Caenorhabditis elegans: one gene and its partners. The protein of the gene in region 2 interacts with the protein of the main gene of each other region in a pairwise test. Each region holds a gene or a part of one and is shown on either strand. Other genes may lie near its edges.

The links.
Region 1: the proteins of cul-5 (region 2) and rbx-2 interact in a two-hybrid assay, tested with the Caenorhabditis elegans proteins (one study listed by BioGRID).
Region 3: the proteins of cul-5 (region 2) and rbx-1 interact in a two-hybrid assay, tested with the Caenorhabditis elegans proteins (one study listed by BioGRID).
Region 4: the proteins of cul-5 (region 2) and cand-1 interact in a two-hybrid assay, tested with the Caenorhabditis elegans proteins (one study listed by BioGRID).

The regions. Positions count from the first base shown.
Region 1 is NC_003279.8:6,417,990-6,424,972, forward strand, and holds rbx-2 (RING-box protein 2), read right to left. Parts: upstream 3,997-6,983; 5' UTR 3,861-3,996; coding exon 3,811-3,860; intron 3,757-3,810; coding exon 3,632-3,756; intron 3,024-3,631; coding exon 2,860-3,023; 3' UTR 2,671-2,859; downstream 1-2,670. Other genes in the region: R10A10.1 (uncharacterized protein), read left to right, coding at 576-851; ncbp-1 (Nuclear cap-binding protein subunit 1), read left to right, coding at 4,117-4,141, 4,198-4,292, 4,338-4,853, 4,903-5,172, 5,284-5,506, 5,600-5,717, 5,761-5,839, 5,890-6,043 and 3 more.
Region 2 is NC_003283.11:10,176,183-10,185,482, reverse strand, and holds cul-5 (Cullin-5), read right to left. Parts: upstream 5,949-9,300; 5' UTR 5,919-5,948; coding exon 5,856-5,918; intron 5,811-5,855; coding exon 5,676-5,810; intron 5,298-5,675; coding exon 5,196-5,297; intron 5,149-5,195; coding exon 4,944-5,148; intron 4,898-4,943; coding exon 4,788-4,897; intron 4,741-4,787; coding exon 4,533-4,740; intron 4,487-4,532; coding exon 4,356-4,486; intron 4,307-4,355; coding exon 4,010-4,306; intron 3,964-4,009; coding exon 3,763-3,963; intron 3,721-3,762; coding exon 3,660-3,720; intron 3,614-3,659; coding exon 3,510-3,613; intron 3,465-3,509; coding exon 3,393-3,464; intron 3,346-3,392; coding exon 3,181-3,345; intron 3,079-3,180; coding exon 2,687-3,078; intron 2,642-2,686; coding exon 2,590-2,641; 3' UTR 2,329-2,589; downstream 1-2,328. Other genes in the region: ZK856.18 (RRM domain-containing protein), read left to right, coding at 1-83, 289-454, 500-732; ZK856.4 (Saposin B-type domain-containing protein), read right to left, coding at 1,037-1,131, 1,175-1,286, 1,336-1,551, 1,604-1,687, 2,119-2,199. UniProt on the Caenorhabditis elegans protein: Probable core component of cullin-based SCF-like E3 ubiquitin-protein ligase complexes which mediate the ubiquitination and subsequent proteasomal degradation of target proteins.
Region 3 is NC_003283.11:9,686,871-9,693,184, forward strand, and holds rbx-1 (RING-box protein 1), read right to left. Parts: upstream 3,653-6,314; 5' UTR 3,651-3,652; coding exon 3,576-3,650; intron 3,526-3,575; coding exon 3,319-3,525; intron 3,134-3,318; coding exon 3,083-3,133; 3' UTR 2,816-3,082; downstream 1-2,815. Other genes in the region: ztf-9 (C2H2-type domain-containing protein), read right to left, coding at 4,278-4,681, 4,730-4,961, 5,020-5,107, 5,157-5,266; ZK287.7 (RNA_ligase domain-containing protein), read left to right, coding at 6,199-6,314. UniProt on the Caenorhabditis elegans protein: Component of the SCF (SKP1-CUL1-F-box protein) E3 ubiquitin ligase complex, which mediates the ubiquitination and subsequent proteasomal degradation of target proteins.
Region 4 is NC_003283.11:16,799,587-16,807,529, reverse strand, and holds the start of cand-1 (Cullin-associated NEDD8-dissociated protein 1), read right to left. Parts: upstream 4,659-7,943; 5' UTR 4,657-4,658; coding exon 4,519-4,656; intron 4,027-4,518; coding exon 3,916-4,026; intron 3,382-3,915; coding exon 3,127-3,381; intron 2,457-3,126; coding exon 1,943-2,456; intron 1,126-1,942; coding exon 242-1,125; intron 1-241. Other genes in the region: ctps-1 (CTP synthase), read right to left, coding at 5,718-6,010, 7,374-7,667.

The DNA of each region.
Region 1 (6,983 bases), on a different chromosome or scaffold from region 2:
CATGAGAGATCACAAACATAAACCGCACTTTAAACACACTTTTTACACCGAAAACGTTTGAAAAGGAGACAAAAAATATTTGTAGTGGCGATTTTTGTAGCCAACGATTTGTGACAAATGGAACAAGTAGGCCCTGATGCGAGTTGCAATGATAAAAGGGTCTTGGACGGAAAATTTTAATAAATAAGATTAACCGCAAACAATAAAACATGTTCCATTAATCTCGAGTTTTAATGAGTAATATTGTTAACACCTAATTGTATCCGACCATAACACGAACAAAACTGATCTGTAGAACTTCATCATCTCATCTAATAATTACTTTTTTCTGTTTCTCTTGGAATATTTCTGATAAATTTCCAAAACATATATTCTGAAAAAAATCAAGCCAACCGAGAAAATCTAAGGAAATTTCGAAATGCTAGCTGATACGGTAGTTTATGTGGTTTTAGGACTTTTAATTGAAAAGTTGAAACAATTAATAGTTGACTCAGTTCAATCAGGTCTATAGTTGTCTTCAGATACCGAAAATTTTGAATTTAAAATTAAACTTTTGCTATTAAATATTAGAAATAATGAATGAAACTAATTTAAAGTTTAAATTTAAAAAAAAAAAAGATAAAAAAATAAAACTTCAAAGCTTTTTCCCACAATTCATCTTATCATTACTTGACTTTTCCTATTTCTTCACAACTCAACTACAAATCTCACTTTTTTTCGGAAACCGTGATTTGTTCATGTTCTTCTCTAACTCAGGCTACAGCATTTTATCAGAATTTTCTGATTTTCTTATCATTCACTTTTTTCAGTTATTCAATAGAACCTCTAAGTCTCTACAACTGCATAGATAGCATAATCAACTCTATGTATTTTTTTATCAATTTCCGAATAATTTTAAACTTCACGAGTCTCGTGTTGCGATGATGGTTAAAGGGCGAAAAAAGAGGAAATTGGGAAATTTTATGGTTAGTGCATAGTTAATAAACGGAATCGTGTGATACTTGGAAAAATGACGAATGATACGAAATTATGTAGTTTAATTGTTGAAAAAAGTAGCGTAGTGGTTGACGGGGTGAAGATTTCATAAAAGGGATCCAATTAAATATTTTACCATTTGGAAAAATTTAACGTTCTCTTTTCGGCTTCTCGTGAGGTATAAACTTTACTTAATGGATGTTATATTTGTAATTGAACCTACTTAAACTCGTATGAAATTAGTGAAAAATGCTCCAGTTTCTGCTCATATTGGCTCAGGGTTTTAGAATAGACTAATTGATAAAGATTTTTTGTAAAAACTCGATATTACTTTTTATTTTTTTAAAACGTCACAAAATTCTATCCGAAATAGAGACACTTCAGACAAAACTTCCAAAAAAAAATTTCAAGTCCAATATACTTTCAAAAATGCCAATTGTAGATAAATTCAAGAATATTCCAATTAACAAAATCTTTGAGATATGCCGCTCCCATATATTGAGGCTTTTTTTGGCAGATGATAATCTATTCAAGTTCCCAAGAGGTTAAATTTTCTGTGAATGGTGATCGAGGAAAAAAGGTGGAAATGAGTCAGAACTCAAACAAATGGTTCAATTGAAATGGGAATGAGGAAGATTTTATTGTTTTCGTTTATATCTAACATTATTATATTCTTTGTAGTTTATTAAACAGGTCAATGAGAACAATAAAACAATAGAGAAGTAACGTATTGGAAATTTCAAAGAACAAAAGCATTTAAAAATGTTTATTTTCACAAAATATCAATTTTAGGAATCACGAACTTTTCAGTCCAAATGTTGCTTCTCAATTTCTCATGGAGTAGATAAAAAAGTAACGTTTTTTTGAAGAAGTTAGGCCCAATGTTGGCAAAACGCACTAAAATTTCAAGATTTTGGGTACAGAAATGAGAAACATCACTTTTTCAACCCTCTTTTGTACACTGTATATGGTTGCTTCGCCGATTGATTTCAAGGAGCCGCATTCGTTTAAAAAGGTCTCGCCACGCGCGCTGCATGTATGAACAAAGATTTCTGCACGCGCCCTTTGAAGTTACTGTAGGAAATTTTGATCGATTTTTTCAACTTTTTTTTGCAAAACATTTAATACTATAGTCACTTGTGTTGTAGAAGACAATTACTCATATGTCTACAGTAATCTTACAGACTCGCACACAAAATAACTGTTTTATGAAGGGAGCGCGGTGAGACCCAAGGGACAATTAAATCAAATAATATCATTGCTGAACTCTTCAGACTCACTCTTGATCATCATCATCAATTGCATCTTGTCTTCGAAGTATTGCTCTATTTCGTTTTTCTGCATCTCCACGAGCACTGAAACTTCTTGTCAGATTTCCACGTGTCACTGAAGTGGATGGACTTTGACTTGGTCGAATTATCACTGAACGGACACGTTTGAAGACTCCTTGACGGTGGAAAAACTCTGGAAACTCGGATAATTTTCTATAAAATATTCAAACTGTAAATGTTCTCACCTGAACTCATTCTTAAATATATCTATCTCAGTTTCAGTAAAATCTAGAAGTATCTGTTCGTATAGTCCGCCAGACAATCGACCATGTCACGGCTGGCGTCTTTTGTTTTTCTTTGAAATTTTCAGAATCATTTTTTCTATTGCTCTGCTTCTTTGTGTTCATATTCGTGTATATGTCGTCTGTGTGTGTGTGAATTTTTATTTACAGTCATTATTTTTGTGAATGGGAACAAAGTGGAGAACGGGGTGAAAAATGGAGAGGGAAGAAGTGGGTGAAGAGACAATTTACAGACAAAAGTTCTTTTGAAAAAGAGTCGAAAAATTACATGTAAATTGGGAAAGAACGTGTAAAAGTAGATAATTGATACATTATTTGCTCGTGCGGCTGACGACCCAATCCTTTTGACACAGTGGGCATCTGTTGTTCTGTCGAATCCACTGAGTCATGCAACAATGATGGAATGAATGATTACAGTCTCCCCACACTACGTAGCATTCAGCACTTGGTTCAGATTGACAACGAAGACACTCTTCTGAAAAAAGTTGTTCATAATTATTGGATTAAATCTCATTCTGGTAGTGTGGATCTCCTGCTCCCTATGCATATTTTTAAAAAATGTTGATTTTAAATATATATTTGCAAGCTAAAAAAAAAGGACAATATATTTCAATTTCGACATAGTTGTATATTACCTATTCTGTTCACGAAAATTTGCGTGTTTTTTACTTTCAAAGCAAGCACTTTTGCTTGTTCCTGAACTTTTAAATACAAATATATCTTTCAAAAGAATACTTTTTGAACATATCACTAAAAAAATTTAGCTGCATATGAGCACTTCGAACTAGTAAAAAGTCGATCTGAACTTTTTCAGTGCATTTTTCCACTTTTTTCAAGACCTCTAGAAATGCTCCAAAATATTTTTTTTCGTAAGTTTGTAATGATATTTAGGGGTAGAGAAATATTATGGAAGATTTCTGTAGAATTGTGTTTTTTTAGAGAAAAAACTGAAAATTTTTTTAAACCAAAAACCATCATAAAATTATCTGCGACATTTTTATCTCACAAAATATCAAAAAAATAAGTTTTGTTATATTTTTGAAGCGATTCAACTTTTTAACCACTGAATTAAATAAAATTTACCCATTAAATGTACTCTGCAGATTGCACATGTGTCACATTCAACATCCCAGGCCCAAACAGCTAACGCATTCCATTTTTTGAGCACAAAAGGACGACTTTCAGACGGATTCGCGGTTTTTTGCTTTCTGAAAGTAATTTATATTTCGAGAATTTAATTGAAATGGAAATAATTGACTTACTGAGCACTCGTACTTCCTTCTTGTGAATCTGCATTGCTTGAATTGTTCATTTTTTTTGCAATAATTTATTGATTTATTGAAATTATTGGCAATTTAAGACCGGTTTTGTTTTTTGCTGCATAAACAGAAGTGGCGTTGAGAAGAAGAGGCGCAGAGATGTCAGACAGTAACCTACGACACTGCGCTGTTCCACACGCGCGCCTTGTTTAGAATATATTCAATTTCGAATTTTCCATCGGATTTTTTTGCGATTTCTCAAGCAAAACCAGTGAGATTTAATCAGATTTTGTTCGAAAAACAACGAAAATGTCGCGGAGAAGGCAATTCGATGGTAAGCTACTTCCTGCATTGTTTAAATCTTGTTTAAAAAAATTAAATGATTTTCAGATGAGGATGAAGTTCAAATGAAAAGACGTCGCGGGGCTCCACTAATCGAAGATGTAGAAAAAAAACTGCAGGGAGTCATCGGAAAAGTTGGAGAGGTAAGACATAAAACATCAATTTCCAACCAAAATATGTTGTTATAGAATACTGGCTCATCGATCGAATGCAATTTGGATAAACTCACAGCTTTTTTACATGATGATCTCGAAAAATATCGGGCTTCAATTATTGATATTATTGCTGGATGTGCCATCTATCTCCCAAATCGTGTTACTGTATACACAACTCTAGTTGGTCTGTTGAATTCAAAGAATTTCAATTTCGGAGGAGACGTCGTAGAAAAATTAATTTCTGAGCAGCAAGATCTTCTTTCAAAACAAAAATATCAAGAGGCTCAAAATCTTGCTATTTTCCTTTGTGATCTTGGAAATTCTGGAGTGCTCACAGCTCAATCAATTGGAGAATATTTGGAGAGCTTCATTGCAGCTGCTTTTGAGGAAAACATGCCTCAAGTTCGTAATGATTATTATATCCAAACAGTTCTTCGTTGTCTTCCATGGATTGGTAAAGAATTGACTGAAAAAGCTCCCGAGCAAATGGAGAATATTGGAGAAGCGATTGGAAAGTATCTCGAGTTGAGAAATAAAAATCACGTTGCGGTAAGATTAATATTAAACTTGTTAATAACTAAAAATAATATATTTTTAGCTTCTCCAAGTTTGGCGGGAAGGCTCGACAGATCAAAAACAAGAAGATTATCTCGAAAGTTTATCAGCTCAGATTGAAGCTCTTCGTAATGCGGATTGGGTTGAAAATCACATTCCTCGACATTATTCTGGTTTTGAAACCACCCTTCAAGATGCCCTCCAACATAATTTGCCAAGTTTTCAATCTCCAGAACATACCTCGGATATGATTTATCCATATCCACTGGTCGTTTTCCGTCTGTTTCAAGACGCGGATTGTTCCGCCTTTTCTGTAAGTGCAAATTGAAACTGTCTAAACTGTTCGTTCATTTGTCTTTTTAAGCAAGGAAATATCTTTTTTATTTACTGAAAATTATTTCAAAGGGTCTATTATAATTTTCAGAGTAAACCCCTTCCCGGTGATAGTTCAATAGATCGTTTCCTCTTCGAAGGTGAAATCGCTTGGATCATTGAAAAAAATCAATTTAATAGAAAAGCATGTGCTCGTGAACTTCTCGCTTTCGCAGAAGAGAATCCATCTGTTCCTATTGGATTCCTTATTTTCGAAACTATTTTCGGTCAAATGCTCCGTCTACCACATGCCCCATATCCAGCAATATTTCATTGTAAGTCAACATTCTTCATTAAAAGTCCATTAAACCTCGATTTAGCGGGGGTTTAATGTAGAATCCAAATAACTAAATTATATTTTCTTTCAGGCTCTCTCGTTCTCGAACTGCTAAAGCTTAAACCAGACGACTATCCACAGATTCTTGTTCAAACTGTTGAGTGTATCTATCGGCGCGCAGATTCAATGCAACCAGTTTGTATTGACAGGTAAATTATATTTCAAATTTCATATTTCAATTTTATTTTACAGAATGGTTGATTGGTTCAGTTTCCATCTTTCTAATTTCCAATATCGATACACCTGGACAGATTGGAAGGATTGTTTGAATGTATGTTTTTATTTTCTATTGTTCATAACATTGCACGGTAATATTTGCAGAAAGATGCATTTTCCGGCAGTCAAATCTTTGTACGAGAAGTCATAGAAAAGTGTCGTCGTTTTGGATCTTATGAGAAAATTATCGCTGCATTGCCCCAAGATTTTGTCAAGATTCATCCATGCTCTCCAGAAGTTCGATATCTCATTGATGAAGGTAAATAACTACTTTTTGGAAAAATCAAAACTTGTAATTTCAGAAGACACTGCACTAGTTCAACGAGCGGAAACATTCACTCAAATGTTCCAAGAACGTCAGCCAGCTGAAGCATTCCTCAATGAGCTTAAATCAAATGATGAAAATGACGAATTGCCATATAACATTAATGAATTCGGTCTTTTCGTAATGGTTATGCTCAAAATGGCATCGAAGACTTATTCACACAACTTCTCAGCTCTATTCAGGTTAGTTATTTAGATAATACGAATTGATAGTTATAATATTGTGTATACTCAAAAATTGTTAACTGCACACTTTTTTAAAAATTAATTTTGTATCGTCTTTATTTAATTATTTGTTGATATTTTCGAAACGAAGAGAGTTATAACCTTTCAAAGTAGTGGGGGTGCAATATTATTAGAGAAAATACAGTACTACAGTAGTAATTCGTTGTTGCGAATTTTCAAGTTTTTTTCAAATTTTTTGATCTCGATAATTTTCGATTACCGTCCCTGTTTCGAATGTAATCCTAAAAATCAACAAAGTTTTTATTCATTTCAGATACCAAACCACTCTGAAAACTGTCTGTGACGCATCAGAACTTTATCAAGAGAAGCTACTGGAAACACTTTATTCGTGCTGGAAAACGAATCAACAGATGTTGATGATCCTTACTGATAAGCTTCTTAAAATGCAAGTAATCGATTGTTCAGCCGTTGTTGGTTGGCTATTCGACGAGAAAATGTGGCAAGAACATGACAGGTACACTTTCACATACTCCAAAACTTTCTCTAACCGAAAATATTCAGACAATGGTTGTTCGAAGTGCTCAATCAAGCATTGGAAAAGCTCACACGACAGATTAATGTTGTCGAAAAAGACATAAAAGAGCTGACTGAGAAAACAGAGAATAAGATCAAAGAGGAGGATGATGAAG
Region 2 (9,300 bases):
AACCAGGAATCACGACTTCACGTGGAGTAACTGTTGATGAACTTAGTGGGATCTTTGCAAGTTTTATTCAACAAAATTCTTCGGTGAGTCAAGACAAAGAAACATTTTTTTTCATTTTTCAAATATTAATTGATATCTGGTTACTGTAGTATGAGTACGGTAGTAGTAAACACAAATCGCAACTGATGATTCGAGTTTCAATGACTCTTTGTCAAAACTTCGAAGTTAAATACTTTCCATAACCTTGATGTGAAAATCTAGCTTTCGAATAATTTAATTTTATTCCAGGTTTCCCAAACATCAATTTTCTCTGATTCGACTCAATCCTTCTCGTCATATTCATTGTTCTCTCGGTCAAGAACCGTTAGCTCATCGTCCTCTCAATACGCTGAAAGTTGCGATTCGTCTGCAACAATCACTCCGTTTTCATACTATCCCGCACAACAATCAACCGGTTTGTTTAATAACTAAATTTAAAGAAAACACTCAACTTTTCAAGGTTTTCTCAATCTTCCTCCACCTTATCACACTCTTCCGGATACTGCTTTCTTCCGTCGCACGAAAATCATCCCTCCTCCGCCAATGAGACAAGAAATTGCTCCAGTTACTCAACAAATCATGAATTGCTATATTAATAGTATCAGAAAAGGAGATTCTGAAATTGGAAGACAACGACAATTATCTCTTTGTTCAAAAATGGAGCTGGAGTATAATTGGACTGGTTCTTTATGATCGTTTTAAAACTCTTTCATGTTTCTTTTTCTTCAAACTTTGAATACACGCTCATTTAATAATTTTCACTTCTATAGAGCTTTGTTGTGAACAGTTACAGGGAAAGACGCTACGGAGGCGCCCTTGATTGCGCCCAGTTTAGTAATTATTTATAACCACGTTTATGTCGTTATTTCTCGGAGATCCGGGTGCGAGAGGATTGAAACAACCCTGTGAGGATCTACAAAATACAATATTTATTCTTATAAAAGATATTTCAGATATCAAGTCGTATAAAAATTATATTCACAGTACTAAAATTTATTTATTCATTCCGTCCAGATACACTAATTGCTTTTTGGAACTTTTTCAAAAAATGCACGATGTCGTTGTTGAAATTGGTAACATGTCCTTGGAGCACTGAAAAATTAAAATTGTTTTTCATGAAGTGAAAGTCATTAACTTTTCCCGATATCATTAAAGCCGTTGAAGTTGATTGCACTTTCATTGACATTTACTTGTCTGCGAAAACGATCTTGATTTTCGGAAACTGGGAACTCATCGTTGTACAAAATCTGAAAATCTTACTCGATGTCTTTATTGTGACCTCAAACTTGATCCTACATCAAGAACTTTTTTTGTCAATTCATTGGGAGGCCGTCCTCGTTTCACAGGAGACTTCATCTTGCTTCTTCCGTCTGAACTTGGAGATGCACACATATACAAATTATGGCATAATTTTACAGCAGGAGTCCAACCAAAATACATTGCAGACACCTCAATTGCTCCATTACACACCATATTATTGTCCAATACCATATTACAAGTATTCTTTTCAATCTGAAAAGTCAGTTTTCTATGTCGAAAAAGTTTCTATGTTGAAATTTTTCACTTCTTTGACAGCTTGTGAGTTGCTCGTGCGTTTTGCCAAGTTCACAATACGTACACATAACCAGCACAATTGATGTAATGGATTCTGCAATAAAATATTTTCCAATATTTAGGATGTTATGGGACTTTAAAACAAAGATTTAAATAGTATTAGTAAGACAAATAGTACATTTATTTATGAGTGAAATGACTTTAGAACCCCGTTATTTTCAAAATTATAACTTTGGTTTTCAGATGATATCTTCGTCATTTCTTTTGCGCACGGGGTCTCGCCACTCGAACAATAAGTTACTGTAAGTTATGTTATAATAAGTTACGGGTCGCTTTTGCATAAACTTTTTAAAATTAAAAATCTTGACAGTATTGTTTTCATTTAATTTTAAAAAGATTATGCACTAACGACCCATTAATCGATACAAGTTACAGTAACTCGTTATTCTCGTGGCGAGACCCATGCGTATAAGATATGGCGGAACCTCTCATATTTGAATGTCTACGTAATATTGTAAAACTTACAAAATCCAATGCTTCGGAGGCAACAAGGATGCATAATAAAATATAAAATAATTTCATTTTCAGTATTTGATGTTCAAACATTCCTTCTCATTATATACTGATTTTGACATAATATTTTCAACAAATTTACTTTCCTGTTATCCGAGTTGATCTCTAGCAGGAATCGAATGTAAAATCCATCTGTTCAAATATCTATCATTTCTTGCGAATCGAGTAAAAAATAAATTCATTCACCGCCACCATGTTTGAAAAGAGAACGCGTAAGACATGAACATTTGATAACAATACAATTATTTTGAGAATAAGCCGAGAAATTAAGACCCATACCAAATCGAAGATGCAAAATGACAAATTATAATACAGAAAAATGGTGAAAAACTATGGTGGTTAGAGGCCAATGCGAATTGACTAGATCGGAAAGTGAGACTGATACTATAACATATAGTTAAAAAGGAAAATACAGGAAAAAAATCAGGAGATATAAACGAAAGTGTTGATGTCATCCGCACGGCGTTCCATATATCTGAAATTTTTGTTGAATTTATGCACTTTATTCACTTTTTCTTACTTGTTTTCAATAAGCCAATCAATTTGTTCTTTGATGATTTTCCTATTGGGAATAAACAATGGTTTCAAAATTTCGACCAACTCCATTGTGAGCTGAGCCAATGTGTAAGTTTTTCTAGTTTTCAAAATCTTCACAATTCCTTCTTGAACGCGGAGCTCCCGCAATGCTACGATGCTCTCGTGTTCCTTCTCAGCGTTGGCTTCCAATGACAACTGAAGTCTTCCTATCAAATTAACTTTTCCACGTTGCTGTGACTTTCCATTTTTCACAACATTGAAGTCATGATTAATAAGGAATTTTGTAGAATCAGTGAAATCTCTGGCTGTGACGGTTGTCGAAGGAACGTCGCAAAGAAGAATTTGGTATCTCATCTTTGGATATGCAACCAGTGACTGAAATAAGAAATGCATTATCTGAGAATTAGTTCCGAATTATCTCAAACTGTGAACTCACAAAAGTCCTTGAATAAATAAGAATGAAATATTGAAAGTTACCAGAAGTGTGCGATTCAGTTCAGCATCCGGTAATTCAGTAGCAAGCCGTAGAGTTTCCAATGATATTTTATCATGAGCTCTATCATTGAAACAAAATAGAACTGCCATCTGGAACGTTGTGCATTCAAGATCGAATCTGCCGCCATTTGCAGTTCCGAAGACCATCTGAAAAGACATGTTAAGTTAATCTGAAGCTGTTTTGAGATATAAACAGTTCCACTGCTCCAGTGATGCATCCAGCATAGCTTTCTACCATTATGTTGCTTTTTGTAAAACGCTTCCATCTGAAATTAAGATAATTTTATAGGTATGGTGAAAGGGAATTCTACCTCGGGGACAAAGTCCTCTAATTCACGAGGCAGAGAGAATCGAATTCTTTCAGACCCACCGCGACCCCAAGCACCTCCATTTAAGACTTTCATATTGATAGAATCTGTAAAATATTTTGAAGTTAATCGAATATTAATTCTTTCAAGTACCTGCAATTGATTTGTTGTTATTTGTTCCAGTTAGCGCCTTTTTGAAAGAAGAGTTCATGTCCTGAAAGTACAAGGTTTTTAAAATAAGAATATATAATTTTACCTTATTCAGCTCGATATCTTGTAACATTCTGGATAATTTATTAACTGCATCGGATGGCATTCCGCATTCTCGAAGTTTTGTCACCATCATCTCTTCTTTTTCCTGATCAGCACTCATTTCCAAAATTAAACGACGTGAAAGATGGGCTCGGTGAAAACGCATGAAAACATCTTTGTTTTCAACATATTTGAGTACGAGAAGCTGAGATTATATCTATATTTAAGAATAACTAAAATTGAATTATTACCACTTGATTGAGTTTTTCATCAATCTCTTCTGATGTCAGTTTTTTGCTCAATTGTGTTTTTCTTAGCAAAAGATCACAATAATTGGCTAGTAGTTCAGCGCATTTTGATTCCACCGATAAGGTACGACCTTTCTTATTCATCATTTCAGTTTTGAATATTGACGAATCATTCACAACAGCCCGAAATGCTTTGTCGCGAGCGGTCAAAAGGCGGGCATCGTCACAGAATCCTTCTCGAACCAGGGAAGAAAACTTATCGAACATAAGAAGGAGCTGTTGGACATATCTTTCAGGATCCTGCAATTAACTAGTTAATGAATTTAATAAAATGCATATTGTAAATCACCGTAGAAAGGTTCTCAGCATTGTTTCTCATGTCATTCAACCCTTCAGTTCGTATATGAGTGTCAATACACTTGAGAACTGTATCAATTCCGCTTCGAGTTCTACGAATCAAGCGATACAGACGTTGGAGACCTGGAAAAGAATACATTTTTACAATTCGAGCAAATACAAAACTTACGCTCGACATCTTTACTGGCAATTAGTTTTGAGCATTCTGCTAAAATCGTATCTTCAAACGACTCAACAAGTGCAATTACTGCTTTTTCCATGTGTTTCCCAGACGTTGGTGAATTCATTTCCAAATATCTTTTGGCTCGTTGCTGCTCTTCTTCCAATTTCTTATCTGCATAAACCATATATTCGAGAACACCGAGTTCGTTGAGAAGCTGAAACACATTACGTATTTGAAACACCAAAAAACAGGTTAACTCACATTTCCGCATATTTTTTTGTAATATTCCGTGGTCTGTTCGATAAACTGTCTCTCAAATGATTGTCGGTAGACTAAAAGTGGATCTTCCCCTGCTCGATCGTTCAGTGCCACTGAAAATGATTCTTCGTGTAATAGGTACAAATAATTGTATCTTACCAAAGCTTTCTCGGATACCGATAACATTTTGTGCGTCGATTATATTTCCATCACGTTCTTCTTTCACTAAACGAAGAGCTTCAACCAGTAGTTGCTCAGAAATATTCATGAAAATAATTTCGTTCCATTTTTCGAGCATCACGGTACGAATAGATTCTTCCGGAGTTTCAGGAACACTTCGGCGTCTCGAACTTTCATCGATTTTCTGTAGCAAGACCAGATTTGAATAGACAGAAGACAATTAAAAACCACCTTGAATGGAAGTGGAAGAATGTTAGCTTGCTGATAAAACCGATTCCATTCTTTGATGTAACCAATTAGAAGACTTCCATCTGTTTGCAAGCTTCTTATCCTCTGTAGAATTTAAAAAATAAACCATTAATTTACAATAATATTGAAACTGCAGTTTTTTTTACTCCAATGGTGCCAAAATGACCAAATATATAATAAAACTTGAGAAAAATTTTATTTAGTGTCCAACAGTGAAATTTAATCAGTTTTTGCTACTCATAATGTTGGAAGTAGACCAAAAAAATGTTTTCCTACATTTTTTTAAACTATAATTTTGTTTTAACTATTTGTATTAAAACATTGTAGGGACCGGAACATGTGACATTGATTTGGATTTCCTCAAAAGCTCATATTTTTCAAAATTATGGCAAATTGCCAAAACTTATAAGTTACAAAATCTCCACTGGCGCTACTCCACCTTTAATTGAAAAAAAAACTTACTTTATTTGCTTCATGAACATAATCATTGATACATCGAGTGAGAATATCGCGAATTTTCAAAGGCCCGTCATCTACCCAAGATGTGATTTTATACACGTGATAAAAGAGATCTTGCCATGCAGCCGGAGTTACTGACTGTAAAAATGGAATGTTTTCTACGTTGAGACGAATGAAACTAACTTTCTGATGCAGAAGTGCATGTACAATTGGATCGGCTTTGCTCCATTCTTCGTCGAATTGCATATTCTGATGGTCTCTCTCTCCGAGACCTCACTGCAATTTTTTTTTTGAGAATTCGAACTTTAAAAACAAGGGCGATAACGATATATTATTGATCTAAATGTTCAAAGAGAGAATTCATTTTGAAACGAAATGCAGATTGGTTCCATTTAAAAATAGTTGTTCAAAATCACTTCTCCTCTTACAAGTCACGTTTTGTTCGATAAAGAAATTGATAACGAAAAACAATAACAGTCTTAAATACAGTGATAACATGTGTACCCATTTTCAATCATTCTTCAAATAATTTTTTGTATTAATTTATAAACAACTTATTTATTTCAACAAAATTGCTTTATATACCGTATATCCTCTATTAGTAAGGCGTGCAAAACTAATTTTCGGACACATAATTTGATGCAAAACTAATAGAGGGTGCAAAACTAATTTTCAAGCAGGTTTTTTTTCTCATGTTTCTCATTAAGTTATGGCAAATATCATCAATTTCAGTAACACCTTATGAACCAAAATGGACGAATTTTACGACTGATACGCAACCATTGTCCCAGTTGTACTCATATTTTGCCAATTTTGACTTGTTATACCAAGTCTGTAATAATTTTCCTGATTGGTAAAACGATTTAATAATGCAAATTTTGTATTCCTAAAAATAGGGAACAATGGAAGGGGTGCAAAACTATTAGAGGTGCAAAACTAATAGAGGCGCCTTACTAATAGAGAATATACGGTATTTGATTAATTTTTCCATTTAAGTTGCCAAATTATTGAATACTCGTTGAAATATCAACTTTATAAATTAACACAAAAAAGTATTTGAAGAATAATTGAAACATTCTCAAAAATTGACGCTTTGATTGAAAAACAATTATTCAAAATGCGCTGTGACGTCACAATAATTCAAACATATTTTTCCCGCCATTTTTGTGCTCAGTGAAGTGATGGGACAACCTGACACCAAAATTGGAAATATTAATTTTTAGAAAAAGTTGAATGTAATTAAAGTGAAATTAAGAGTTATTGAAAGAAGTGAAAGCTATGGAAACTAGATTTCACTGAAAGAAAAGTAAGAGAGGAAAAAATGAGGGAGAGAGAGTGAGGGAGATGACAAGAACCGGTTGTATGCAACCACACAAAATAGCGAGAATTTGCTTACTTGGGATGCAGATTCATGAAGAAATGATACAACATATGTTCAAAAGATCGAGGGAAAAGATGATTTGCATTACATTAATATTTGACCAATCAAAAATTAATTATGTTTTACAAACGATTTTAAAATATATAGCCAAAACTCAAATGTCCCCGAAACTTCCCCCCCAGAGATGGTAGTGCAAACGCGCTCTAACGAACTACTTGGCGTTGAAAATCCTTTTGGAGCTCACGAGTCGGCATAAACTGATCTCATCTCGACAAGACTATTTTTATTGATTTTCCATTGTTTTTCGGTAAACATATTTTTATTTATTATGAAAACCCAGAATAAAACAATTGTGAAACACATAAACTTTGGCAAACCGAACACAAGGAAAAATCGATGGAAATTACCCAACAAAAAAAGTTCGAAATTACAGTACTCTTTAAAGGCTCACACCCTTTTGTATTTGATAAAAAGTGTCGTGCCGAGACCTGGTACCGTATTTTTGAGGTAAAAATCCGCGTAAGTTTTATTGAGTGAATTTATTCGGGTCTGCAGCTAGGTTTCGTTGAGAAATAGTCATACATTTATGAACGTAGAATGAAAAACTGAGAAGGGCATTGACATATTAGAAGGGGAAATTAATGAAACAATCTCCCAAACAGGAGACAACTCTAATAGTTATTCACGATATCAATCATTTCAGAAATTTGTGTTTGTTCCGGCATCGTTTTTCTGAAAATTCACAATTACTTCAGAAAAATTTGCACGTTCTATAAAAATGAGACTTTGATGCAATCGGAAGTATTTTCGCTGCTATTTTTATGTTTTCTAAGAATTTTCAAATAAACTTTCACATCATCACGAGATACATAAATGAATACGGAAAATGATTTTTTAATATATAAATAGTTATAAATCGTTTTGAATTCATATCATCTTCAAGAGTGATGACGTTTTCCACTTGCAATATGTCATTTCACTACGATGACGTCACCTTGAGAATGCTCGACAACGTCCTTCAATGGGAAATATTTCAGTTCGAATTTCCTTCCGCAAGCTGAATGTGGTCGTCGTGCTCATTTTGCTCTTTTTTTGCTTTGAAAATAACCTAACACATTGTCCATTGTTTGTCGGCGTAACATGTTTTGTCTAGACATTGGCTGTTCAGCTTTAAAACATAAATTTTCTTTACCAGTTTTAATTTTAAAATTCAAACACATATTGTTTCAAATACTCCAGGCAGCTGTTCTTTAATCAGAATATGCTCGTGTGAAACTTTAGGTATTCTTGAAACATATGTAGGTCCAAGAATAAGAAAAGTTTCAATATTTTCTCTCAAATGGAATATTTACTTTGTGTCAAGAAGCAGCTTAGAATTCAGGCAAAATTTGATTTTCAAGAGTTACCGCACAAAGAACCAAGAACTTTGGACCACACGTAAACAAGCTTCGAACCGATTTCAATAGAGGATAACATATGTTTCATAAATACTTTAGAGTTCTATCAATAATTGTATGAAGTTTGTAGTGCAAATCATGAAAAGTCTTGTCTGATAAAAAATAAATATTACTTATATGTAGTATTTTTTTAAAAACTATATTTCTTTTAATTCGTTTTAATTCAGTTGAGCTCCTAGAATTCCCTTTAATCATTACAAGATCATGTGTTCCCAGTATTATAAAACAGCTGAAAATTTCAATGTTTTTTCAAGCAGAAACGCACATTTTTCATGAAGTTTTTAATACGCATATTACGAATGTACTAGTCCACGGGGATTTTTTTGTGGATTTTCGTTTAGTCTGGCAACAAACTAAAATGAAAAAAAAAGAAAATAAAGAAGCTCTTTCCTTTCTCTCATAACTTTTTTCTGTTTGTTTTCACATTGTGATCCGTTCTCTGAAATAGACTAATAGCTCCATTAACACACTCACACAACCTGTCTCTTCACGTCATTTCGTTTCAGCTCATTTTGGTCGCTTTGTGGGTTTGAATATATTGTATCAAAAAGGTGTACTTATTGTCTGACAGAAGCTTTGAGCGCATCATAAACATGTAGAATTCTTATGCTACTTGATTGTGAGAATAGGTACTTGATTATATACAATATCTATGAGTCACATAATAAAGTAACTTGGAGGAACTTCTAAGGTAAGCGGCACTTCTTCCCACGGAAATGCCGACCTACGTGCGTGCCTACGCCTATTTCCTGCATGTTTCCTGTTTGCCCAGAGTAGACATTTCTTCATT
Region 3 (6,314 bases), 490 kb from region 2:
GTCAGCTCCTCTATTCATCTCCGAAAACCTCCGATTATTATTTTTCTCTGAATCTCTCTGTCTCCTATTATATTCACTCAATCCACTGTTCCTATCAGTGTCGCTATCCTATCCCCAAGCCGCCCAAATTGAGCCGTTTTAGGAGAGGAGAAGAAGGCTCTCGTACGATTTCACGACTCTCTGGGAGCAAGACACTCCTCCTCGTTTAAATCAAATACAGTGCGAGAGAGTAGAGATTGTTGGGATAAACAGGTGGATGAGCTCAATTTGAAACTTTAGATAAACGAAGCAGATATTTCCTTTTTTTGTTGTAATAGTAGAGGGATCAAGTGAACAGTTGACGTTTAAAACAAAAAATAACTGTAATTGGTCCTGTTGAGAAAGCGGGAAGTCGAAGTATTACTGGTATTTATCCAAAATGGTTTTAAAAATAAAAGGAACGAATGTTATTGCTATTACATGACCAGTATTTTACAATCTGAAAAGTTTTTCAATGATCTAAGATTTCATAGTTTTTGCAGCGTTCTCGCTAAATCTTTTCTGAATTTTAGAGAATAAATACTTGTAGATCAAACCAAACAATTTGACCCAAAATTGGGATGTTGGATCAATGCTTGATAAATTTTTGGTTTAACGTTTTGGGGTGATAAAACTCAGAAGAACTTTACTGGCTTGATTATTTGACTTTTTCACAATGTTCATATAATTTCATCAAATTAAATAAATCAGAAAATCTTACCAAATACACCATTGTCAATTCTATGCTGCCCACGCAGTGAACGATCCTGGGAAGGGGGTGGATGTACTTTTACATGGAATAGTTGACCAAAGTTATTCGATATTCTAGAAGCGTAGGCGGAAGTTGTGACGGGTTTGTCAATCGGAAAAATATTTCGGTTAAATAAAATTTAAAGAACTAAGAGCAATAATTGTTTTATCAGTATGTTTCATAATTTAAAACTCATCTTGAAACTTCTTATTTTAACTACCAAATTCTTGGGCAGATATAATTTTAAAACTATTCTGCAGAATGAAACACGAACATTTTAACACATATCTGCCACAAACTGAAACTTGTAATCTAAAAACCTAATAAATTGTTTTGAAACGAATTTATCCGGTTGTTTCGTTAGTGATTAAAAAAAACAATGCGCTCTGAAAATTTGAAAGTCATAAAAGCAGGCTTCAAGCCTCACTCATGTTTAAAGACAAAAGAGGAGAGCCTGTGTCGATTTATAAGTAACAATTTCCTTTAAAATTGAGAGACTCACAAGAGGCGTGAAAGTAATAGCAACAACAAAAGTTTATGATTTAACTATTTAGACAAAAACTTTAGAATTCGAGCACCGAGTTTTAACAAGCTGATCAGCGTTGGGTATTTTAATCATCCAGTATCATAAATGTGAAAATATTTATATCTTCCATTTCACCTCAATTGATATTTGATATGCGATTTTGCAGATATAATAGATTTTTAAATAATAAGGATATTTTACCAACCTGTAAGGAGTGAGCAATGTTCACTAAAAATTGAAATCCAAGGACTAGAATCATCTTTGAATCATTGCCAGATCGAATTTGGCTTCCTGGAAATGAAAGAAAATAAAAAAGAAACTGAGATTTTGCAACAAAAACGAATGGATAAGTGGCTTCAATTGAAATTCAGCGGATTCCATCAAAAAGTTGTTCAATAAAAATCGGGTCTACCTGCAGCTCCACCTATTCTTTTTTCTCTCAAACTCTTGTTTTCTACTGCTGCCTTGTGTCTTACATTCCCACACTACAATACAGATTCGGACGGTTCGGATATAAAAAATGGGATTTCCAAATCGGGGAGTGGATCGAGGAACACGTTCAACAAACATACACTGTATTGGGTAGGGGAGTCGGTTTGCTTGTTCCGACATGAGAATCTCGAGTTACAACTCGCAAAACCAATTAAATCTTCTCGCAGACAGTAACTGATCCCCGTGGTGTAAATTTTGACCTATTGGTGTTTGATCTGATCACTTCGATGATAACAGAAAATATATAAATATGTAGCTAAGTTGGAGAGTACGGTAGGTTACGGTGTGATCGCGGTGAGATATCAGGTGATTATAAACTATATAGTTTAAGTAAGCCCAAAGCCCAATAGCGGCCTGAATATACCTCGTTTTTAAAGAAACGTTTTAAGTTACTTCAGAATGAAAAAAAAACAGTCTAGAAGTATTGGGAATTAAATTTTCGAGTGGCAGTTATATTAAAAAAAATAAACCGATGTGTATAATTTTCATTGAGTTTTGCCCTACTTTGTGAACTTCAACACTTCTAAATATGTATGAACAATTTTGTGCAATTTGGCATTCGGAGGAACTACTGTATCTGAAATCGTGGCAGGACCCAGCCAAGAGAAGTAGTGTGCGCCTTTAAAGTGATACTTCACTTTTCATGAAGTTAAGAATATCCGCAATTTAGCAACGTCGATTATTGAACAATAAACGTTTGTAGACAGTTTTAAAAGCAGAAAATTATCTTGGTCTATATTAATGAGAGAACTCTACAAAAATCAGTATCCAAAATTTAAAAAAAACTTTGGCACAGAAACGAACAAGCAATCGTAATAATCAATTATTACGGAAAGGAATACGAAGAAGCGGCGAGAAATGTGCTGCAATTCGGTTTTGAACGTTTTAGCCGAATTGCAAATAAATTACGCGAGACGAGACCTCCTCCTTTTGCTCCGGCGGCTTGAACGGTGCCCGCAACCTGAACCTAAACAGCCTAAGCACATAAACGGCACGAGAATTGTCTCGTTGAGAATTATGAGACCAGAGGACACAGTTCATATTTATATTTTTAGCGGAGAAAAATTAAATATTCAAGCGAGGAAGGATGATTTTAGAAGGTCAGAAGGGATTGGAGATTTGAATAAACAAATGAAAAGTGTCAGATCACATAGAGACTAACACGTCTGGATTTTAATGTGCTTTTTTTTGGGACGAATACATATTCACAAAAGGAAATAGAAGAAAAATCAGTGAATACAAGTAAAAAAGTGTGAAGAAACTGCCCGGGCGGTTGGCAGAAGAATGAAGATCGATTAGTGTCCGTACTTTTGGAATTCCCACTCACGATTGTCCAATGGGCATACCTGAAAAGATAGAATTAGAAAATGTGTAAGCTTTTTGAAATGCTAGTTACGAGTACTTAGTAATTGAAAAAAATTAAATTTTCAAAAGTTGTTTAACAAAAATGCATGCGGCAGGCTTCTGTTCCGCTTTGACATTTGAATAAATATCATTTTTTCAAAAATAAGCACGTTTAAAAGCAACCTACCTGTCGTGTCTTCAGCCAACGAGAAATGCAATGGAAGTGGAAAGCGTGATTACAGTTTCCCCATGCAACGGTACACTCATCCTTGAGCCCGGCTGCTTGATTCGCTTGGCACTCGATGCACAGATCCATGATGTGATTGCGGCAAATAGCGCAGTTGTCGACCTGAATGTCCCAGGCCCAAAGTGCGACGGCACTCCATTTCTTGACCTTAAATTGCACTATGTTTGTTAAAGCATGTAACATTGTATCTGTGTTACCTCGAAACGCTTCTTAACTGTCTGATTTGTGGCCTCCTCGACCTCCATAGCTGTGCTGTCGCTTGCTTGGGCCATTTCTGGAAAAAATACAAATGAGAATAACAGTAATCATTTCAAAATAAGAGCGCAAAAGTAGCATTGATGATATAATGAAATACTTAATATTGAACATGTTTATGCATACTATAATACTATAAGCCTAAACTAAATAGAGGATATGATTGATAAAATTGTTGTATCAGATTTTATGAAAAATTGTACCCTAGAACAAGTGATTCACGAACCTAATACAACATTGTTGTACAAAGCCGCCGATAGAAAATGAGGAAACATGAAGGACTTGACATTATTGCTAATATGTATTGAAAAAGGAGATACGCTGTTGTAAAATAAATAAAATGAAATCAGACTGAGCAACACTGCCGAAATTCTTTCGAAAGAATCATCAAAAACGCTTGTCTGCACACACCAGACGCTACGCGCATTTGCGTACACCGTACTCACCTATTTTCTGTCTTCACGCTTTCGCTTTCTTTTTAAAATTTACTCGTCGCGTCTTATTTCTTGCCGAAACGAACAAAGAAGAACAGGTTAAAAAGAAAAATTGTATTTAACAAAAATAAACCGTATCAGTTAGTATTTTAACAGTAATTCTAACAATTGGGACGATGAGAAAACAACTTTTAAATCGTTTCAAGATATTTATTCTGGCAAATCCGTGTATCCAATTCTCTTTTTCTTTCGCTCCGGAAAACATTTTTCAGTAATTTCTTTCAGCTTGTTTCCTAGATTTTTTCGATAGTCAATAACCATGTCGCAGTCGATGGTTCCGTCGGGTCTCTCGTGATGGCTTTTTATGTGCTTGATCACATCAGATTTTGCAATTGTCTGCCATTTTCTGTGACAGATTCCGCACTCGTAGAGCTCATATTTTCCGTGACGCGTATTTGCATGATACACCATGCTTGATCTTTGTTTGGAAACAACGTCTCCACAAAGAGAACATTGAATTTGTTGCTTCGGCTTGATCGGACCACCGCCATCAGATGCTCCCTCGAATGAAGGACCGGCTCCACGTTCTTCTTCGTGACGTGCCAGAGTTTCGTCTGAATTAAATCCAAATGAGTGGGAATCATTATTATGTGTAAGTTTACCTAGAAAGGCATGATAAGCATTATCTACGAAGACAACAGGAGAAGATGACTGAATAGGTGTGCCAGTTGCTTCTGAGTTTTCGACTTTGACTCTGTTCTCCACTGTGCTTGACACCGCATCGCTGATTTTCCCTTCAATCCGCATAGATCGACTCATTGCAATGCACCGTTCGAGCTTTTGGGTCAGTTCCTTCTTTTTCATACTCAACTCCGGTGTGTAGCGATATTTTATCTGCAATTTAAATTATTGTTGAATTTTTTTTCTGCGTCTCTCAACATTGGAGACTTACAGAAAATTCGGTGAGTCCATGATCATTCATACAGTGACTGACAAGGGCGAATTCCGTTGGAAACTTAGCGTACTTACATTTTTCGCATCTAAAATAGTAAAGCTACGTTCACCACATATTAAAAGTTAAAGACTTACTCATATGGGCATATGTTAAGATGATCACTAGCAATGTGTGCTTCGAGATCTTCCAGTGTGTTGTAGGCCTCAGTTTGAACGCAATCTAGACATCCCAGTAGTCGGTTCATTTTTTGAATGTAATAAATATATTCTGCAAATTTAGTAATATAGATTTAGAAGCGAACGGTTAACAAAATGTGTTCGAAATCAACTGAAGACGCGTGGAAAAAGGAAAAGAATGGTGAGAAGAAGAAGGAAGGAAAATGGAGAGAAGGGGGTGGTTTTGTGTGTGTGAGGAGGAGAAGAAGGCCGGGCGGGCAATGGCCAGTCTCTTCCTCCTTTCTCCTTCCTTTCTTCTCCTCTTTCTTCTTTTTTCTTCTTCTCATCGCTCGGTTCGCGCTACATTGAAACGGAGAGAGAAAGGGAAAGAGAGAGGACAAAAATGCGACGACTCGTCTTCTTCCTATCTCTTTCTCTCTGCTGTGTGTGTGTGTGTGTTTTTGTGGCGATAGGAAAAAAAGAAAAAGGAGCGGGATGGGCGGAAGAAAAGTGGGAAAAACTGTTGGAAAAATGAAAACGTGAGAGAACAGATATGAGTCAGATTTTTGTGAAAAATAATTAATTTTGAGATAAAAAGTTGATGGTACAAATACCATGACCATGCATGGCAGTCTCTTTTTTGTTGAAATTTTTGTTTAGAAAACTTATTTAAAACCAATTCTTAAGGAATATGCATTTTTTTTAAACACGAAATTCGCTTTAAACAGAGTACTTCCATTGGAAAATGTAAGGGAAATAAACGATAAAGCAGCCGAAGCTACCATAAACTTTTTTGCGCATCGAGACCAGTCCAAATCAATCCATGCGCCTTTAAGAAAGTATGCCAAAATCTTGTAAAATTAAGATACCATTTTTTCCTAGCAAGAATTTCTCGCTTTCTGATAATTAATTTGGTAAAAAATTCTAAAGCTTATCTGAAACCTTTCGTCTTATAATTTTACAGACTCGGTTTATATTTTATTTTGATAATTAAAAAATAATCAAGATTTTTCAGAGAAAAATGAACACACTGCGACGAATATCGACATGTCGATTCACAAGTAATACAGCGTCTTCAACTTCTTTGGAGTCTGCACCGGCTCCACTAAATCCAAAAGTTCAGAAAGCTCTGACTCC
Region 4 (7,943 bases), 6.6 Mb from region 2:
TTTCAGTAAAAAAATTGAATTTCCGTTCAAATTTTAACAGAAAATTCAAATTTTCAGTAAAAAATCGTCAGTGCAAATTTCCTGTCAAAAAATTGCATTTCTCGTAAAAATTGAAGTCCCGGGTTTTTTTTTTAATTTTCTGAATTTTTAGGTAGAAATCTCAATTTTCCGACTAAAAATTTATATTTTACACTGAAAAAATCGAATTTTTCAATTTTTCATATTCGAGCTGAATTTCTACCTCATTCTTGAGCACATCCTTGAAAGCCGCCAACAGCATACTAATAGCAGAGATAGCTCTCTCTCGAACCTCTTGATCAGTATCATTAGCCATAAATTTCTTCTCAACAACGACCAATAACTTCTTCGCCTCCTCATTTCCACCACAAGCCGACAGCTCACGGAGCACATCAATATATTTACAGCACACTGCGAGGCCTTCTGCTGAGACTTTATAAAATGGCTCAGAAATTGAATGAGTCATAATTGTGGTCAATGGGCTCAACAAATTCTTGAATCTCTTCGGATTATTGAGTGTCAAGGCATTCGAAATGAAGCTGAGCACAGTCATTTTTCCCTGAGCCGACGCATTTTTATCGGTTAAAATGTTGGATACAGCCGGAATAATATCATCGAGACTATCTTCAAGGCCTGATGGATAGGTCCGAATTAGGGCCGAAAGAAGTTCAATGCATTTTGGACCAGTTTTCGGGTGTTTTTTCATCGATTTTGTGATTGTACGAAGAAGCACATCTTTCTGATCAGCTAACGATTGAATTATAGCCAACTGGCTGCGTGATAGATAATTCGTCGAAAATTTGGTTCCACCAATCACCACAATATCATCAGTTTCAATGGAATCCTCGTCGGCGGCCACAACGGCCTTCTGCAAATCTGGGACCAAAATGGAGATCTGATTGAGTAGGGCAATGTAGACTGAGATGATTTCAGTTCGGACAGTCTCTTCGCGTTCTTTGAATCGTCCAATCACTACTGGACCGATTTTTTGCGAGAGATTGAGAAGGGATTCCCGGTGTGATGAGATCATTGCTTCGATGGCTTTTGCGGCGGCGCGGCGAACTTTCCATGTGACGTCTTCGTCGTCGCTGTATTCATCTTCGTCGTCTGCAAAAAATTTGAATATTTAAAGGTGGACTACGCTCAGCGAGGAAATTGCTTTAAAACACGCCTATGGTACCACAATGACCAAATACCATGATTAAAAAATTCAAAAAAATTTTCCAAATTTTATATGATTTTTTGAAAATTGGAAAAATCGCAGTTTTCCCCTAATTCCTTTTTGAATTTCCGCCAATTGGATTTGTTCGATGGAGCGCGCTTGCACGTTTTTAAATTTATTTATTTTATTTATTGTTATTTTCCACCAACTTTTAAAGTTTTCGGTGTATTTTTGCTTGAATTTAGAGAAAAAGTCAAAATAATTGCAAATTTTCGATTAAAAAGCACGCTACCAGGAAATTAGTTAATTCAGGTTTTAAATCGTTTAAAAGCGTTACTTTTTCATTTTTACGCCTGTACGTTTGCTTTTTAATCGAAAATTTGCATTTATTTTGACTTTTTCTCTAAAATTCGAGCAAAAATACACCGAAAACTTTAAAAGTTGGTGGAAAATAACAATAAATAAATAAATAAATTTAAAAACGTGCAAGCGCGCTCCCTCGAACAAATTCAATTGGCGGAAATTCAAATAGGAATTAGGCAAAAACTGATATTTTTTTCAATTTTCAAAAAATCATATAAAATCTAGAAAAATGTTTTTGAATTTTTTTATCATGATATTCGGTCATTGTGGTACCATAGGCGTGTTTTAAAGCAATATCCCCACTGAGCGTAGTCCACCTTTAAGGCTAAAAAAAGCTCCAAAATCAAGAATTTCAGCTAAAAAATCTTTAAAATCTTCAATTTTCGCACAGTTTCCTACCATCTTCATCATCTTCCATTTGCTCATCCTCATCATCATCTCCATACTCGTAATTCGGATCATAGGCCAGTGCATCAGTGAGCTGTTGGATAACTTCCTTCTCAAAAGCTACAACTTCCTGTGGATTCCGGTACAAAAATACTTCCAATCCTTGAATAGAAGCTTCCCGTAGATCATCGTGCTCCGATTCGGTTCCAGGATCAATTTGAAGATATTGAAGAAGGAACGGAACAACTTTCGGCGTATGCTTCGAGAATCTCGATCCACTGGCTCGTGCGACAGTGCTCAACGCGATCACAAGTGTACGAAGTTGCACATTTTGAGCAGCCGACGATGGAGGGGATCGTTGAGCCAGCTCTTTGAGCAAATCTTGAACGAGCTCATCGTAAAGCTCTCCGTTGATTACAGAGGCAAGATGTCCGATTCCAGTGATTGCCTTCTTTCTGATAGCGGAACGGAATGAATACAAGTGATCTACCATCACTTTCAACGATCCTTTGTGCATTTCGGGAACCTGGAACTAGAAATGTGTGAGATTTTGCTTCAAAAAGTGCCAAAATAGTCTTAAATTCGGGAAAAACGTGAAATTTCGGCTGAATTCCATCTGATTGGTTGAAAAGTGGGCGGGGCGAATCGCTGATTGGTCGCAATTCCCATTTTGGAGGAAATTAGCCAAAATTGAAAAATCGCGTTGGATTTTTCGTTTTTTTTTCGAAATTTGGCATTATTTCAGAGTTTTTAAAGCAAAAAATGGAAAATTTTTGAAAGTTTGGTTTAAAAAACCCAAAACTGACAATTTTTCAATTTTAGGGTTACTGTAGCTCCACAAATTCGCAAACACTGACAACACACCGGATTTGACGGCAAAATGCAGAATAATCAATATTTTCCGCAATATGTCGTGTTTGCGTGCTTTTAAGGGTACAGTAATCCCGGTAACGAGCAAAATGGCTGTTTTCTAGAGTACTGTAGCCTCAAAAGTGAGCAAACACCGCCAAGACACCGGACTTGACGACAAAATGTAGAAAAAAACGGAATTTCTGCAAAATGACGGTTTTTGGCTAGATTTGGGGTATTTTTTTTGAAATTTTGAAGATATTTGAGCTCAAAAAAGGCTCATTTGGGCTATTTTAAGGCTTGAAAAGCCCAAAAAATAGGATTTCCGGGTGTAAATCCACACTTACAACATCACCAAATCTCAGCAAAACTTCTCCAATCAAATCGAGAACATCGACACGAGCCGCATCATCTGGAGCACACAACGACAGAGAATCCACAAATTTTGGCAACATTCTCTTGACAACTGTAGTTGTTGCATTACTTGAAGCCGATGGAGCCAAATTTAGAATCATTGCTTTAAGTGTGAGAGAATGAATATCTCTTGATTGTTCAGCTTTCGAAAAAACGTGTGGAGTGAGCTCTTCGACGAGATATTCCAGCTGAAATTTGGGATTTTTTCAAATTTTTAATGATAATTTTTTTAAACAAAAATTTTTAATGTTAAATATTTAATTTCCCGTTGAAATGTTGAAAAATCTACTGAAATTTTGAACTTTCTGTGGAAATTCGACTGAAAATTCCAATTTTTTAAACTTTTTATTGTAGAAATATTGAATTTCACGCTGAAAATTTATTTTAAATTCGAATTTTCCGACAAAAATTGATTTAAAATTTGACCATCCATCCAAAAAATGACTTTTTTGTCAAACTTTGACTGGAAATTCGTGTTTTCCTCCAAAAATTGAATGAAAATGTGACTTTTCTGAAATTTTATATAAAAATCGACTGAAAATTCGAATTTCCAGCCAAAATTCCATTTTTTGTACGAAATTTTCAAACTTTCCAGTCATTTCTTAATTTTTTGAAGGAATTTTCGTATTTTTCTCATTGAAATCTCCAGTTTTGTCGTATTTTTTCCAATTTTTTCCGTTAAAAACACCGAAATTAAAATTTTGAATTTTCCGATTACTGACATGATGCGTTTTGATTTTCGATGGCTGAGCAAGGAGTCCAATACATTTGATCGCAAGATTTTGAACTTCTCCGTTTGAGTCACTGAGCAGTTTGATTAGAGCACGAATGACCTGAAAAAAATTAGAAAATTCAGATTTTAGCTAAATTTTGAATTTTTTTTTGGAATTTTTGTTTAAATTCCGGCGGTTTTTAGTTAATTTTAGCCATTTTTTGAATTTTCAACATTTTTTGGCAGAAATTTCCGGTTTTTGCCAAAATAAACAGTTTTTTTTTGTAATTTTAAATAATTTTTTTTTCGTTAAAAATTTAAATTACAGCAGAATTTAGCAGTTTTTCGGATTTTTAAATAATTTTTTTTGTAGAAAATTACGGTTTTTGCCGGTTTCGAATTTTTTTTGTAGAAATTTCAATTTTCAGCTAAAATTTTTTTTGAAATTTCAAACAGATTTTTCTGTTGAAAGTACAGATTTTAGCTATTTTTCACCTTTTTTTTCAAAATTACAATAAAATTTCACTGGAAAATTCAATTTTTAGGGTTATTTTTTAGCTTTTTAAAGCAATTTTTGCACCAAAAACCGCCAATTTTTGAGATTTTACTATACTTTAGCAGTCGAATCGTCCTCCAAAGCGATAGTTCCAGTCTGCAAATCTTTCATCAAATCATTGCAAGCCATGAACCGGAAATCCTTATCCGGATTCGACATTTTGTCGACCAGTTGCCCGACATGATAAGCACTCATCTGGAAACAAAATTTGGTCTGAAAATCACTTTTCGGGGTCTGAAAACGTGAAAAAGATAACCAAAAGAGGCAAGAAAATAGACAATTTTGGGCGCCAAAATAAGTGATCAAAAACTCTAAAAACGAAGTTCATCGGGTGTTGGTAGAGAACAAAATCTATGAAACTGGGTCAACAATTGAATAAATCCGGGAAAAAATGAAGGTGACTATGGGAGAAATTAATGAAAAAAAAACAGAAACAAGGATAACAAAAGGACAAAAACGACGAGAAAAATGCGAAAAAAAAGAAGAAAATTATCTTTGGAATATCAGAAAATAAGAATAAAAACAACAAAAACTGGAGGGATTTTTGTCTGAAAATGGTCTGAAATTGACGAAAAAGGGTCGATTTTTTCGAAAATTTGACTCAAAATTTGCAAAAATCTGAATTTTTCGTTTTTCTGGCGGATTTTGGCAATTTTTTGAGTCAAAAAATAATTTTTTGGACTGAAATTGGTATTTTTAGGCCAGTTTTTGGGAAAAAAAGCTTGAAATATCGCAATTTCAGATCAAAAAATAGTTTTTTGGTGGAAAAAGCCATTTTTTACATATTTCGCTCAAATTTTGGATTTTTAAAAACATTTTTGCCTCAAAAAAAAAAACCACTTTTCGGGGTAAAAGTGTTCCTTTTTAGGCATATTTTTGGGAAATCGGCTGAAAAAATGAGTTTTCTGGCGCAAAAATGTAAATTTTAAGATAAGCAGCTCAAAAAACGGCAAAAATTGAAAAAAAAATCGAAAAATACCAAGTTTTGAGCGTTTTCCCGTTTTTCGCACAAAAAATAGCTTTTCGGAGAGCAAAAATCCAAAAATTCAGCAATGTCAGCTTGAAAAATGGATTTTTGGCTCAAAAACTGCAAAAAATCCAAAAATTCAGCGATTTCAGCTCGAAAAATGGATTTTTGGCTCAAAAAAAGGCAAAAAATCGGTCAATTTCTGCAAATTTTAAGACGATTTTCTGACAAAATCATCTACTCAACTACAAAAAAAGTGAAAAAAAACGACGAAAAATTGAGGAAACAATTAATGGAAAGAAGCCAATCTCTGAGTTCCTGGCACAGCATTTCCCTCGAGTTTCAGTTTCCCCAACATTGCTCCAACAACATCTTCACGCTTCTCCTCCGAGTCATTCTCTTTTGTATGATGAAGATGCTCCTCTTCATTTACAACTTGAAGAGCCGGACTTCTTGACCCAGAGAAATATGAATTAAGTTGACGAGTTGCGGCAAGCAGAAGACCGAAGAATGGTGGAGATGGAGTGAGTGGATGGGAAAGGTATTCGGGATGGAATTGGGCTCCGACAAAGTATGGGTGGTCTGGAATTGGAGATAAGCTTCAAGGGGTGCCGGTTTTTTTTAATTTCGACTTTTTGAAAAATCTTCTCAAAAATGAATAAAATAATGTTTATCAGCATAAACAAAATTTGATTTTTTTTTAAAGTTTGTTCATCGATTTTCACCAGAAAAATTTAGATTTTTAGGAAAATAACTTCCAAAAATGGAATTTTTGTTAGGTTTTTCGGACCAAAAAACTTCTTTTTTTTTCTTCAAAAATGTTATATTTTAGTTGGTATGACGATAAAAAACCAACAGTTTCTTTTTTTTAGCCGAATTTTTTTTTGACAGTCTTGTTAAAATTTTTCTGAAATTTCAAAAAAAAAATTGTAGATTTGTCCGGAAAATGGCTTAAAATTTGGGCTATTTTTCCCACATTTTTGAAGAAAAATATCGATTTCCTTATAGTTTTTACTCGTCAACTTGAATAAAAATTATCAAAAAAATGAAATTTTTTTTTTTTTTTTTTTGATTTTTCGAAAACAAAGTCGATTTCTCGGAAAATAGCTGAAAATTTGGGGTGTTTTCCCACATTTTATAAGAAAATAATATGCCTTTTTATGTTTTTCTCCACAAAAAAAATTTGATTAAAAAATCGAAATTTCTCGATTTTCTCCAATTACACCCTTGGTAAGAATTTTTAAAAAAGTAGAAAAATACGACTAAGAGAAAACGGCCTAAATTAAGAGTGACAGGGCCAAACCAGCAGATTTTGAGAAAAAAATTAACTGTTAGCAAAGAAAATTGCGTAACCACTTGCAGAGAGAGAGTCATCAATTTCAAAATCAAATGGTTCGCAATGGAGCGCGTTCGCTCTCTCTGAAAATTGCCAGGACGCAATTTCCAGAGGTAATTATCGATTTGGAGCAACTAAAGCGAGAAGAATATCGATTGATCTCATGAAATAGCTTGTGTAAACTCGAAATATGCTAAAATAAACACATTTTGAATTGAGATATTTTAAAAATGTTTCAAAACTTTTTTATTACGGTTCAAACTTTCGAACTAATTAAAATTGATTTTTAATTGAATCTTGTCTTATTTCTGTCATTAATAGCACGTTTTTTCGTTGATTTAGGTATATTTAAGGTCTATAGGTAGGCAAAATGCACCTGGAATAACGAAAAATGTGAACTAATAAGCAATTAAAAATCAATTTTTCGGCCGCTTAATTAGCTACAAGCTGGGCATTTTTTCATAATTTTTAACCGCCATAAAACATTTTTGAAACATTTTTAATGGCAAAATCTAAGATTTTAGCCTTTTTTTTCTTAAAATTTGAAGGTTTCTGTATGAGAATCTGTCTGCCAGGGCTTAAAAATTGAATTTTCGTCCTTATATTTACCCTTCATCTCGAACATTTCCATACGAACAGCTGGCCGAGTAACCCCATCGCCTCCTCTCTGACACAAATCATCAATTTTGTGCAACAAATCAATTTCAGTCTGATCAGCCATCTGCATAAGCTCCGCCGAGCTGTCGGTTCGCTTCTTAACATCCCAAATATCAGTATTCTGTTCATCTACACCCATTCCGACGAACAAGAATCCCTTCCGAGCCATTTGTGGAACAACGTGGGGATTCACTTCGTAACGGTGACGGTGACGTTCTTCCACTGTGTGAGTTCCGTAGAGACGGTCTGGAATGAGAAATTTTTTTTTTAATTCTGATTTTAGGCGGGTTTTTTTTCAGCTTTTTCTGATGAAAATGGCAATTTCTGTGCGTTTTAGCCTAGAAAATCGCAAAATTTAACGTTTTTTTCCATGTTTTGCACCTAAAAAGTCATTTTTTCAGCTGAAATTATTACTTTAAAGCTTATTTTCCGAAAATAGGCTTAAAAAGTAAAAACTTTTTCAATCCGAATTTCTGATATTTTAAACTTCTTTTTTTTTGTTTGAAAATAGGCCTAAAAATA